3 linked regions of the Coturnix japonica genome follow. The protein of the gene in region 3 interacts with the protein of the main gene of each other region in a pairwise test. Links are inferred from orthologs where the notes say so. Each region holds a gene or a part of one and is shown on either strand. Other genes may lie near its edges.

The links.
Region 1: the proteins of DMC1 (region 3) and KCTD17 interact in binary tests that used the Homo sapiens proteins (3 or more experiments, as listed by UniProt). The two-hybrid records come from large-scale screens. The link is inferred for Coturnix japonica from reciprocal best matches to the Homo sapiens genes DMC1 and KCTD17.
Region 2: the proteins of DMC1 (region 3) and PSMA3 interact in binary tests that used the Homo sapiens proteins (3 or more experiments, as listed by UniProt). The two-hybrid records come from large-scale screens. The link is inferred for Coturnix japonica from reciprocal best matches to the Homo sapiens genes DMC1 and PSMA3.

Annotation. Positions count from the first base shown.
Region 1 is NC_029516.1:47,002,603-47,006,357, reverse strand, and holds the start of KCTD17 (BTB/POZ domain-containing protein KCTD17), read left to right. Parts: upstream 1-1,038; 5' UTR 1,039-1,820; coding exon 1,821-2,030; intron 2,031-2,504; coding exon 2,505-2,613; intron 2,614-3,755. UniProt on the Homo sapiens protein: Substrate-adapter for CUL3-RING ubiquitin ligase complexes which mediates the ubiquitination and subsequent proteasomal degradation of TCHP, a protein involved in ciliogenesis down-regulation.
Region 2 is NC_029520.1:50,256,424-50,258,998, forward strand, and holds the end of PSMA3 (proteasome subunit alpha type-3), read right to left. Parts: intron 1,555-2,575; coding exon 1,487-1,554; intron 1,355-1,486; coding exon 1,290-1,354; intron 804-1,289; coding exon 759-803; 3' UTR 625-758; downstream 1-624. UniProt on the Homo sapiens protein: Component of the 20S core proteasome complex involved in the proteolytic degradation of most intracellular proteins. This complex plays numerous essential roles within the cell by associating with different regulatory particles.
Region 3 is NC_029516.1:46,410,576-46,414,230, forward strand, and holds part of DMC1 (meiotic recombination protein DMC1/LIM15 homolog), read left to right. Parts: intron 1-180; exon of another isoform or gene 181-313; intron 314-647; exon of another isoform or gene 648-880; intron 881-2,017; 5' UTR 2,018-2,051; coding exon 2,052-2,108; intron 2,109-2,740; coding exon 2,741-2,785; intron 2,786-3,655. UniProt on the Homo sapiens protein: Participates in meiotic recombination, specifically in homologous strand assimilation, which is required for the resolution of meiotic double-strand breaks.

The sequences.
Region 1 (3,755 bases), about 590 kb from region 3:
CCTTGATGTCTTCTGCTGCTCAGAGGAGAGTGGTCCAGGGGCTGGGGATTAATTTATTAATGGACCTGCTCAATGCAAATAGGAAAATAAATAAATAAAAAAAGAATTACTCTCTCCCTATTAATAGTCACCATAGAGCTGGCAAGCTCTCAATGTAAATTAAAGGAGACCCTGCAGCAGATGATTTGTTCATGTGCTTAAATTAAACTGGAGGTCAGCAATTTCAAAACCTTTTCCTTGTTACCTTTGCTTTCCCCCCTCTGCTTTGCATTCCTGCACTGAAGGAGCAAAGTGCAGTTATACCATCTTTGTGAAGAGAATTCTGGGTAACTGGGGGGAAGGGTGATGCTATGCTCACGTTCTGTGATGATAAAAGGGAGTGATTTTTAAGCGCAAGAAAAGAGAGGATGAGGAAAAGAAATGTGAGTAAAGCACGATCTTTGTCTTTTTTCCACCCCCTCTCCCCCAGTAACTCCCGCCTGGAAAGACCCAAGATCTAGGTGAAAGAACGAAGCGTCCACAGGGCAAACGGCGTTCCTGCAGTGCTGCATTGCCCTGGCAAGGAGGAGCCACGGAGTTGTTTCAGGTGAAGGAAGACTTTGGGCCACATTCAGGTGAAGCGTCAGCTTTTCCTTTTCATCCCCAATGTGCCTGAGCTGCTGGCAAGCACAATTGTGTTTCAGAGGGAGAGGAAAAAGCAGAGCTGCTGGAGAAATAACTTATTCAGGTCATGTCCATGCCAAGGAGTGCATTTGAATGGAGTCCCATGGGTATGAGCTGCCGAGCTCCATGCTTGACTTGGCAGGAGGAGTGGCAGAGGCAGGGCTGTGCTCAGCAAGGAGCAATTGACACATTGGTATCAGCATGCGGTATGCCTGAGGCAGAGGTGAAGATCCATGCAGGGCAGGGTTAAAATCTGAGCTCTTTGCAGCCAAGACAACATCAGAGCTGGGAAATAGCTGGTGGTCTCTGGAATGGTTTGTGACTGTAGAACCATACAGGGAGGAGGGGGGTGGGGTTGGGGGGAGGGGAGAAGGGGAACATTTGCTGAATCAGTGACTCTTCTGAGTCAGAAGAAAAATTGTTCCTGCCCCCCTGCCAGCACTTCGTGCAGATCCAAGATACCGTTCCCAGAAGAGTCCCTACATATGTTAGCAAGAAGACAACTGCCTGCACATTTTGCAGCAAGAACAGTGTAGCAACTGATGCAGCGCTGTGCTGTGAGCCTGGGGTAATGTATCTCCTGGAGGGAAAGCTGCGGAGAGCAGTGCTGATGGGCTTAGTCTGCTGACTGCCAGAGATCAGAGACCTTCTTTCTGACTCCAGGGACGCTTGCCTGCTAGATTTGCAACTCAAAGCAAGCAAATGATTAGCTGTAGTTTCAGGGTAATGTATTACAGCATCCCCTTGTGTGGGGACAGCAGGCTGGAAAAACTACAGTTCCCAGCACCCTTTTGTGCACATCCCTGCAAACTACAGTTCCCAGAACCTTTTCATGAGCCGGGGAGGGAGGGTGTACGTGGAAGTAATTGCTGAGGAATTTTGCATCGCTCCCCATACTTTCAAAGTGCTGCCCAGCCCTCGGTTAGTGAAAACCGAAACGGAGGAAAAGCCAAGGAGCGTTGAGACAGTGGTTTTACCCACCCCTAATAACTGCAGCACTAAGCATCCTTCTCGCCCTGGAGTCTCCCTGGGCAGACGCAGGGAGGATTCTTGCCCCTAAGGGAAACACGGCTGCTGCGGAAGGAGAGCAGACTAACTACAGATCCCAGCATTCCCTGGCAGGCAGCACCTGCGGCAGTCCCTGCGTGCCAGGGGGGATGAGGATGTGGATGGAGGGCGGGGAAGAGATGAAGGGCGCAATGGGGCTACGCTGCGGCTGGGACCCACCCCCCATTGATGCCCAGGCCAAGTGGGTGAGGCTCAATGTGGGGGGCACCGTCTTCCTTACCACCAGGCAGACCCTGTGCCGGGAGCAGAAATCTTTCCTGTGTCGCTTGTGCCAGGGCGAGGAGCTGCAATCGGATCGGGTAAGGCAGCTGTATTGCCTCCTGCACCATGCCCTTCTGAGCACGGGGAGGGCTGCAGGGCTGGAGTCAGATCCCAACAGCTGTAGGAATAACCCAGAGAAAAATACCTTCATTTTCTCCCCTTATCCTAGCGAGAAACTTCTCTTGCCAGATACTTCCTGGCTGTGTTGTAGCCCAGTCCCCTGCACCCCTGCTGCTCCATCACCGTGTATACCCTGAGGGTACTCCCCAGATGTAGCAGCCTGACTCAACCCTTTTTTCACTTCGAGGGATTTCAGCTTCCTCACACCAGGCCTGTACTTATAGTTGCAGGAGCCTGAGGTCATGCTGAGATGGACATTCTGAGCATAATAATGCAGGAGTTAATATCTGAGTGAAACTGTCTTGGCTATAGTCTATTATAGAGATGTTGCAGGTAGGTGCAGGTCAAGATACCCCGTGCTTTTCATCTCATGGTCTACCTCTTGTTGATAGGATGAGACTGGTGCATATCTAATAGACCGGGACCCTACTTACTTTGGGCCCATCCTGAATTTCCTCCGCCATGGGAAGCTGGTCCTGGATAAAGATATGGCTGAAGAGGGTGAGTCTTGGAGCTCAGAAACTTACCACTTAACCATTGCTGGAGCAGCACAGTAGGGTTTGTAGTTGACCTCCTTGTCTTTTGTTATCCTTCTGAAGATTGGTGTGGGAGATTTGAGAAGGCCATCCTTGCAGCTCTTGGAAAGCATGTTTCCTTCTCTAAGTGGGAATGGAGCAGGTGGAGAAGGGATCCTGCATATATTGAGTCCTTATGGCTGTTAGTTGAGCAAAGGTGTCACGGAGATGGAAGCAGACTAGGTCTCTCATCCATGAAAAACTGTTTTATTACCTGTTCCTGATACACTTTTAACCAGGCTTTGTGACTGAGGTTTGTACTAATGACTGAGTGTTTCTAATTAGGAGTGAAAACCCAGAAGACCAAACAGACCAACTGACTGTAATAAACCCCATAATTAATCAGTGACACGTAATGTATGCTAATAGTGCTCTGATGGGTTGTGGACTGCAGCAATTCCAGTGGAGCAAGCCAAACAAACCAATCCCTCATTTGATGTTGACAGGGAGTCCAATAGGATAACTCAGTAACATCATCATGGTGTTACGAGCCAGCGATCCCCAGTGCCTCATTATTTTTTGGATGTTAGGGACTAACAAGCAGCCAATTTCAAAGACAGGCTGTGCTGTCCAGCCCTTGCCAAGCACAGTTTCTGCAGGTTCATTAGCCTTCTTGCCTCCCTTACATATTTTTACCAAGGAGTGTTTTATTCAGAATCATTTTATGACTTATAATGCAAAAAATATATATCTAAGAAATAGTACAGAATTGTAATAAACACCATTCAGAGATGTTTCTTACTTATCATTGGTTGTCACCCTCGTGTCAGACAGAGTTCAGCCGAGGCTTTTAACACCAGATCTGAAACGTAAACAGGAGTTCTTGTTCTGTTCACAGCTTTCTTTTGCTCCTGCCACAGGACAGGCTGGCATGAAACCAACCTGTTAGAGGGTATGGCTGAATGGCTGAATGAGGGACTTATTCTGAGTTCTCAGGTAGAGAAGGATCAAACCCATACCAGCATTGTCTGCACGCTGATCTGGGTACCCATGAATGTCGGTTCCTGGCCTCCTTCCCCTCACTAACCCACTGAGAACTCACCTCCCTTTCCCTGATGGCTTGTTAGC
Region 2 (2,575 bases), on a different chromosome or scaffold from region 3:
TGCTTGTAAATACAGCTCTTCATTTTCATTTAGCAGTTTGTGAGCAAGGTTTCAGGTTTGGAATCAAGGAGTCATTTTGTCACATTAAAGCAAGTGAAAGATCAGTCCTCAGCAGGTGCTTTAGGCTGAGATCAGTTTACTGATTGGCTTTCACTGACTCAGAAGAGTTGAATAGGCAATAAGCTTCAGTAGTAAACTCACACTGAATGCAAGACAGAACTAAAGCCTGATTCAGGTGCAGTTGCTATATGGTTGCCTCTGGGGACAGCACTCAAGGAAGCTGCCTGATAGAGAGCTGTAGCAGTTTGACATCTGTGCTTAGCTGGAAAGGCAAGCATTCCATGTGGCTTGACTCTTAGCCCAGGCTTAAGCCTGAGACAGCAGAACTGTTAATTAAAGTGCTTTCCTGGAAGCTGGTTGTAGTTGGCAGCTGCACATATCACCTAAACTGATAACATGTCTTCCTAGGCCCAGCCTGATTCAAAAGTTCTGCTGTAGTAAGAAGCATCTACACCAGCATGATGACACCTTTCCATCTTAAGGCCTGTTTTGATGTACAGTTTAGAATACAAAGCATTCTGTATTCTAAATTGATCCTAACTTATTTTGAAATGAAATCTAACAGACAGTAAAATGGAAAATTTATTAGTGCAAGTTGGTCACTCAGTCTCCTCCAGCATGTACAAAGGAGCGTCCCATGGGTAATACATTATAAACAAACCTGTACTAAGTCAAACTTGTCTTGAAGTAACAATGTGTTACATATTTTCATCATCTGATTCATCCTCCTCTTTCAAAGATTCCTATTAAAAAAAAAAAAGAGTTTTGTTTTACTATTTTCTCTACATACACAAAGGCCGCTATTGAGCAGGCCTTGTTTCTACTGAAGAACTAAACTACTTAAGAACTTAAAACCTGGCACCACTACTGCTTTCAAAGCAAATGCTGGGGGAGCAGCTTTATCCAGCTGGTTAACTAAAATACCTGCTTTAAAGGTAACGCGACTTACTGCATTTCCCATCCACTTATGTAATGACTGAGGCATTAATAAAAGAAATGAGAGGTAGGGAAGCTTGATGCCATGCTTTTTAAATGTAAGAACTGTCTGTGGATTGCATGGAGGGAACTTCCCAATTCTCTCATCAGGAGACATCCTGGCTACAAGTGATTAATGTACCCATCCCTTTTCCAGTCATTATAGTGCTACAATCCTGCTCCTTACTTCATTCATTCTATTCCAGACTTGCCAAGAGCAACACTGAGATGACAGCAGTGATGTCAGACCTTACCTTGGCATATTTTTCTGCTTCTTCTCTTATGTCTTTGGGAACAATTTCATGTTTTCCATTGGTTACTGCAAACAAAAAAGAAGTACCTATTAGAATTCACACAGCACGGTGCGATAAGTAAAACACTGCTTCTGCATGTTCAATACAGAAAATGAGAAGCTTTCTCTACTGTTGACAGAAAGGTAGAAATGCATTACTTTCTCCAACCCAGCTGAGTTCCAACTCAAAAGCTTTATCCTTTACTTCATCATGAACGATGTAGATTCTGGAAAGAAAGGGAGAGGGTGGAGGTTAGAACAGATTTATTGACAGGCAAATTATAATTTCTTCCTTTCACACATCTCTTACTCTGTTGAAACACCATTTCCTACATGTAATAGAAGCTTCCCCTCCTGCTTTCTCTTCAACCTCTCCTTTGTGCTCATCCCATTTCAAGAGGAAAAGAGTCTATCAGGGCATATTGTGGAGTAAAGCATTACTAAAACAGTGTGTTGCATGATTACAGATAAGATGCAAGGTACCCACGTAGGTGAGATGCTGAGTAACCCAATACAGAACATCACCTTTACAATAAATGTTATTTAAGATTCCAGTACTGTAGAACCAAGGCTATGACATCATTGCCTGCTTCTGCTCAATCAGTCACAGTGTGGCAGGAGCTCCCTGCATTTCCCCTGTAAATCTTGTTTCATCTTATACTTGAAACTAAATCTAAACACAACTGCTAATACACAACCTGTACGTAGAGCTCTCCATCCCATCTGCTAAGCCTACAACAACTTACAGCCTTGTGCTTTGTTTGTGCAGTTTCAGAGTCGTTTTGAGGTCCTTGTTATGTTTCAGGAGCAGAGAGCCCACACATTCTTTCCTTTAGCAGCTAACATGATAGCCTCTGACACAGCCACATAAATAAACTCACATGCTGCAACACCATTGATGGAAACATTTATTACTTCTTTATAACCTCTAAGGAACAGCCATAAAAGGCTGGAAATTATTTCTGTAGCTGCATATTATTAGATTTGTGACAAGTGCAGAAGTATCCCTGTAAGCATTAAGTACTGGAAACAGCCGAAAGGATACTTGTATTTATTTGAAGAGACCATAGACTGGCTTGGGTTGGAAGGGACCTCAAGGACCTTGAAGCTCCAACCCCCACCACATGCAGGGCCACCAACCTCCACATTGATACCAGCCCAGGCTGCCCAGGGCCCCATCCAGCCTGGCCTTGAACACCTCCAGGGATGGACGGGGCATCCACAGCGTCTCTGGGCAGCTGTTCCAGC
Region 3 (3,655 bases):
TCTTCTGGAACAGCTCTAGTGGAATAATTCCGTTTTCAAAAGCTGTGCCAGCCAGTTCCTCTCTGCAGACAGAGCCTTAGGCACTAGGAATCCATGCACGGACATAAACTGTTCGATATTTCAATCGCTAGCAGTGCATGCACTCAGTGTTGTGCCGCGGGGGGGGGGTAAGGAACTGAGCATCACTGAGCATCACCACAGCCTCCATTGCCGCCATTCCCGGGGCGGGAAGGGCGGGCGCTGCCTCAGGAGGAGGCGCTGAGGGCGGCGCTGGGGCTGACGGTGGGTCGGTGGCTGTGGTAATTCGGCCGAGGTGTGCTGGGGATACACGGAGTCGGGGAGCAGGAAGGGCGTTTTATGGCTTGTATTAGAGATTCAACCTCGGCTCCAGTCGAGTGGGCTGCAATGTTTCTGTCAGCTCACGAATCGTTTATTAAACCCTGCACAGTGTGCTCAGGGCTGTCACACAGCCCACGTCTGCTCAGTGCAGAAGGCAGGCCGGCCTTGCTCCTGTACCCAACAAATAGCTCCTAGGCACTAGCTGAGAGCTCAGGGCACCCAAAAACGTATTTCTCCACAAAGGTCCTTATTTCTTGATGGACTTGCCATGTTTTCACACCTTCAGCCTCATGTCTGGTTCATTGCAGGCTGTGATGACTGGAATGCTCTGAGCCTTTGCCACACCAGCAACGGGAGGAGGATTTGGTTCATCCCTAAAGCTTCAGTTAGTGTGTGGTGTAACTCCTCTGTTGTTCCTCCCATCTACAGGAAGGCACAGGTCTGCAGCTGCCTGATTTTTCTGCTGGTAGGTGCCAGTCACCTCAGGTTGAGGAATAGGAGGTAGAACAGGGCCTGAACTGTGCTTAGAGTGCAGGATTAGGTGCGTTTCAGGAGGGTATTTTAAACAGAGGAGAGGGTTAAGATATGGCTCTAATACCTTTTGTGTTACTTGTTTTTCTTCCTTCAGTATTTGAAGCTCCGTGGGTTGAAAAATCTCTTCAATTATTTTTATTTTAATTTTATTACTTTATTGAAATTATTTTTTCTCTTGACATAAAGTATGAAGGCATGATTTCTCATTCTGTAATTGACAGGGTTTTGAAACAAAAGAAAATAGAATCACAGGATCATAGAATGGCTTGTAGGGAGGGACCCTAAGGATCATCAAGTTCCAGCCCCCCTGACCCAGGCTCTGAGCACCCTGATCTACTTGTAGGTGTCCCTGTGCATTGCAGGGGAGTTGGACCAGATGATCTCTTAGGATCCCCTCCAACTGATGGTTCTATGAATATGTAATTCTGTGATTCTTGTCAACAAATTATGCAGACCTTATGTATCTATTTGAAAGCTAGGGGGGGAAAAAAAGCTATTTGCAGAAATTTATTCTAACTTATCTCATCCTCTTTCAAATGTAGCTCATCTTGTAGGTTCACAGTAAACATCATATTCTTTTCACGGACTTTATTAAGGAGGATGAGTAAGCAAACATATACAATCTTGTGGATGAGACACTTGACAAAACTAGAGCAATGAAGGCAAGCTGGCAGTTAAGGCAGAAGCAACCTAACAATTTACAAAATGATAAAACTGGTACAGCAGGTTATGAAATCATATTTGTAAGGTCCTGTTCATTTTTTCCTGCAATCATGTAACTTAGAGTGGCAATGCTGTCCTTTTTATTTGTCAATGCTACTGCTTATGGAAATACATTCTACTAATGGTAAATCATTTTAAATGTTCCACCTCCAAATTCACACTGGGACCCAAGATTCTTACAAGGGATTGAGTTCTATTTTCTTAACACCAGTTAAACCTTTTCTAGGCAAATTAGTTCACTGGAGAATAACACTGTAGGTTTTTTCCTTTTGGAGAAAGAGTGGGATACGGAATCAGAGTTTAAATCCATATGTGATGACATAGTTAAATGGTGTGCAGTTTGAGGACATTTTAAAAGCTATTTTCCTGTTATTTGCACATTTATTATGGTCCCAATACTGTCTTTGCTTGCATTTCTCAGTACTGATCGATCCTTTATTGCCTGCTCTTTCACAATGAAGGCCATGGAGGATCAAGTAGTCCAAGAAGAATCTGGATACCAGGATGATGAGGTAAATGTATGGCTCTTTGAAAAACAGGTGCAGCAGATGTCTGAAGGTATTGTTACAGTGTACTGAAGCCCACAGAGAGACAGGAGGTCCCCAGAGACCACCAGGAAGTTCAATTCATTTAATATTTTGTTACAGTCTAATAGCAGGAAAATCTCTGAGTCAGAGTCCCTGTACAGTTGTGTTCTTCACATGCTCTTCATTAACCTTTCCTAAGCTATATACAGTTTCTAATGGAATTATCATTATTGCTTTATATATTTTACTTCAATATTAAATGCCAGAGGATTATCAGTTCATTTTAAGCTTCCAAGGAATGGTCATCAGCCAGAAAAGGCTGAAGAACAGCGAATGAAAGAGTCAAGATGTGATCCTAGCACAAGTTTATTAACACAGCAGAGAATTACTTGCCTGTGAAGATATATTCGATGAAGAAAGTGGTAGGAAATGTGTAGGCCTTCTTGGCTTACTCTGGGTTTTCTTATTTTGGTAGTTCAACAAGACAAGTGGTATTAGGGAAAACCATTTCAATGTTTACACATTTGAAACACATAGTGAGATAGATGTAATTTTAAGAAAAATAAAAACCTATTTTTGATTTATATATATATATTTTTATATATTTGTTGTTTTAGGAATCCTTTTTCCAGGACATTGACCTGCTACAAAAGCATGGGATTGTAAGTATTACCAATGACTTTTCTGCACAGTGCTGTCCATGTAAGTTTCTCCTCGCAGGAAATTCTAAATCAGTCCCTGTGAAGACAAATTTTGCCTTTGGTGATAAGACAGGTTTTCAAAATATCTCCTTCTCACTGGATTCCTAAATAAAGTGTCGAGATATTCAAAATATTTAGCACCCAGTACTTCTTGAAAAGCCAACTAGATGCTAACTCATATGAAAACCATGTGGGAGATCACTCCCTGTTCCTGCTGTTCTTTGTAATTATACCTGCCTTTTTGGTTCCCTTGAAGTTACGCTGTGGCAATTGGTGCTGAATTGTTTTTAGAATGTTGTTTAAGGGAGTAGAGTGTGGGGTGAACAAACTGTTAATAGCTGGAGAAGTAAGTGGAGAGTTTTTTCTTCAAATATGAATTGTTCTCATCATCAATGTTACTGTCACATGAATCTTAGCTTTTTCTTTGGATTACTGTTGTTATATATTTACCTAGGGGACTGATTCATGGGTCAGACTGTTCAGTGTTAGAAAAGCAAAATAAGAAGTTTGGTTTGCCTGAAGTAATTTCAAATTTAAGGTAAATGACTGTAGATGGATACAGTCAGGGTTGACACAGACACAGTGGGACAGTTACTGCACTCATCATGTCAGCACTGTAATTCTTGTTCACTTTCTTATTGACAATTCACTGTCAGGGTTTTAAAGAGTTCTGAGGAGGATAATGAGGTAATGGGCTGTAACGATGGCGCAGTATAAGAAAAATACACAAATGCTTGTGTTAAAAAGTAAAGTTAGTCCAAAGATGTTGACCTCATGAGCTGAAGGAGAGCTGTGTAAGCTTGTCAATATTGAATGAGGCACGGTATGCAG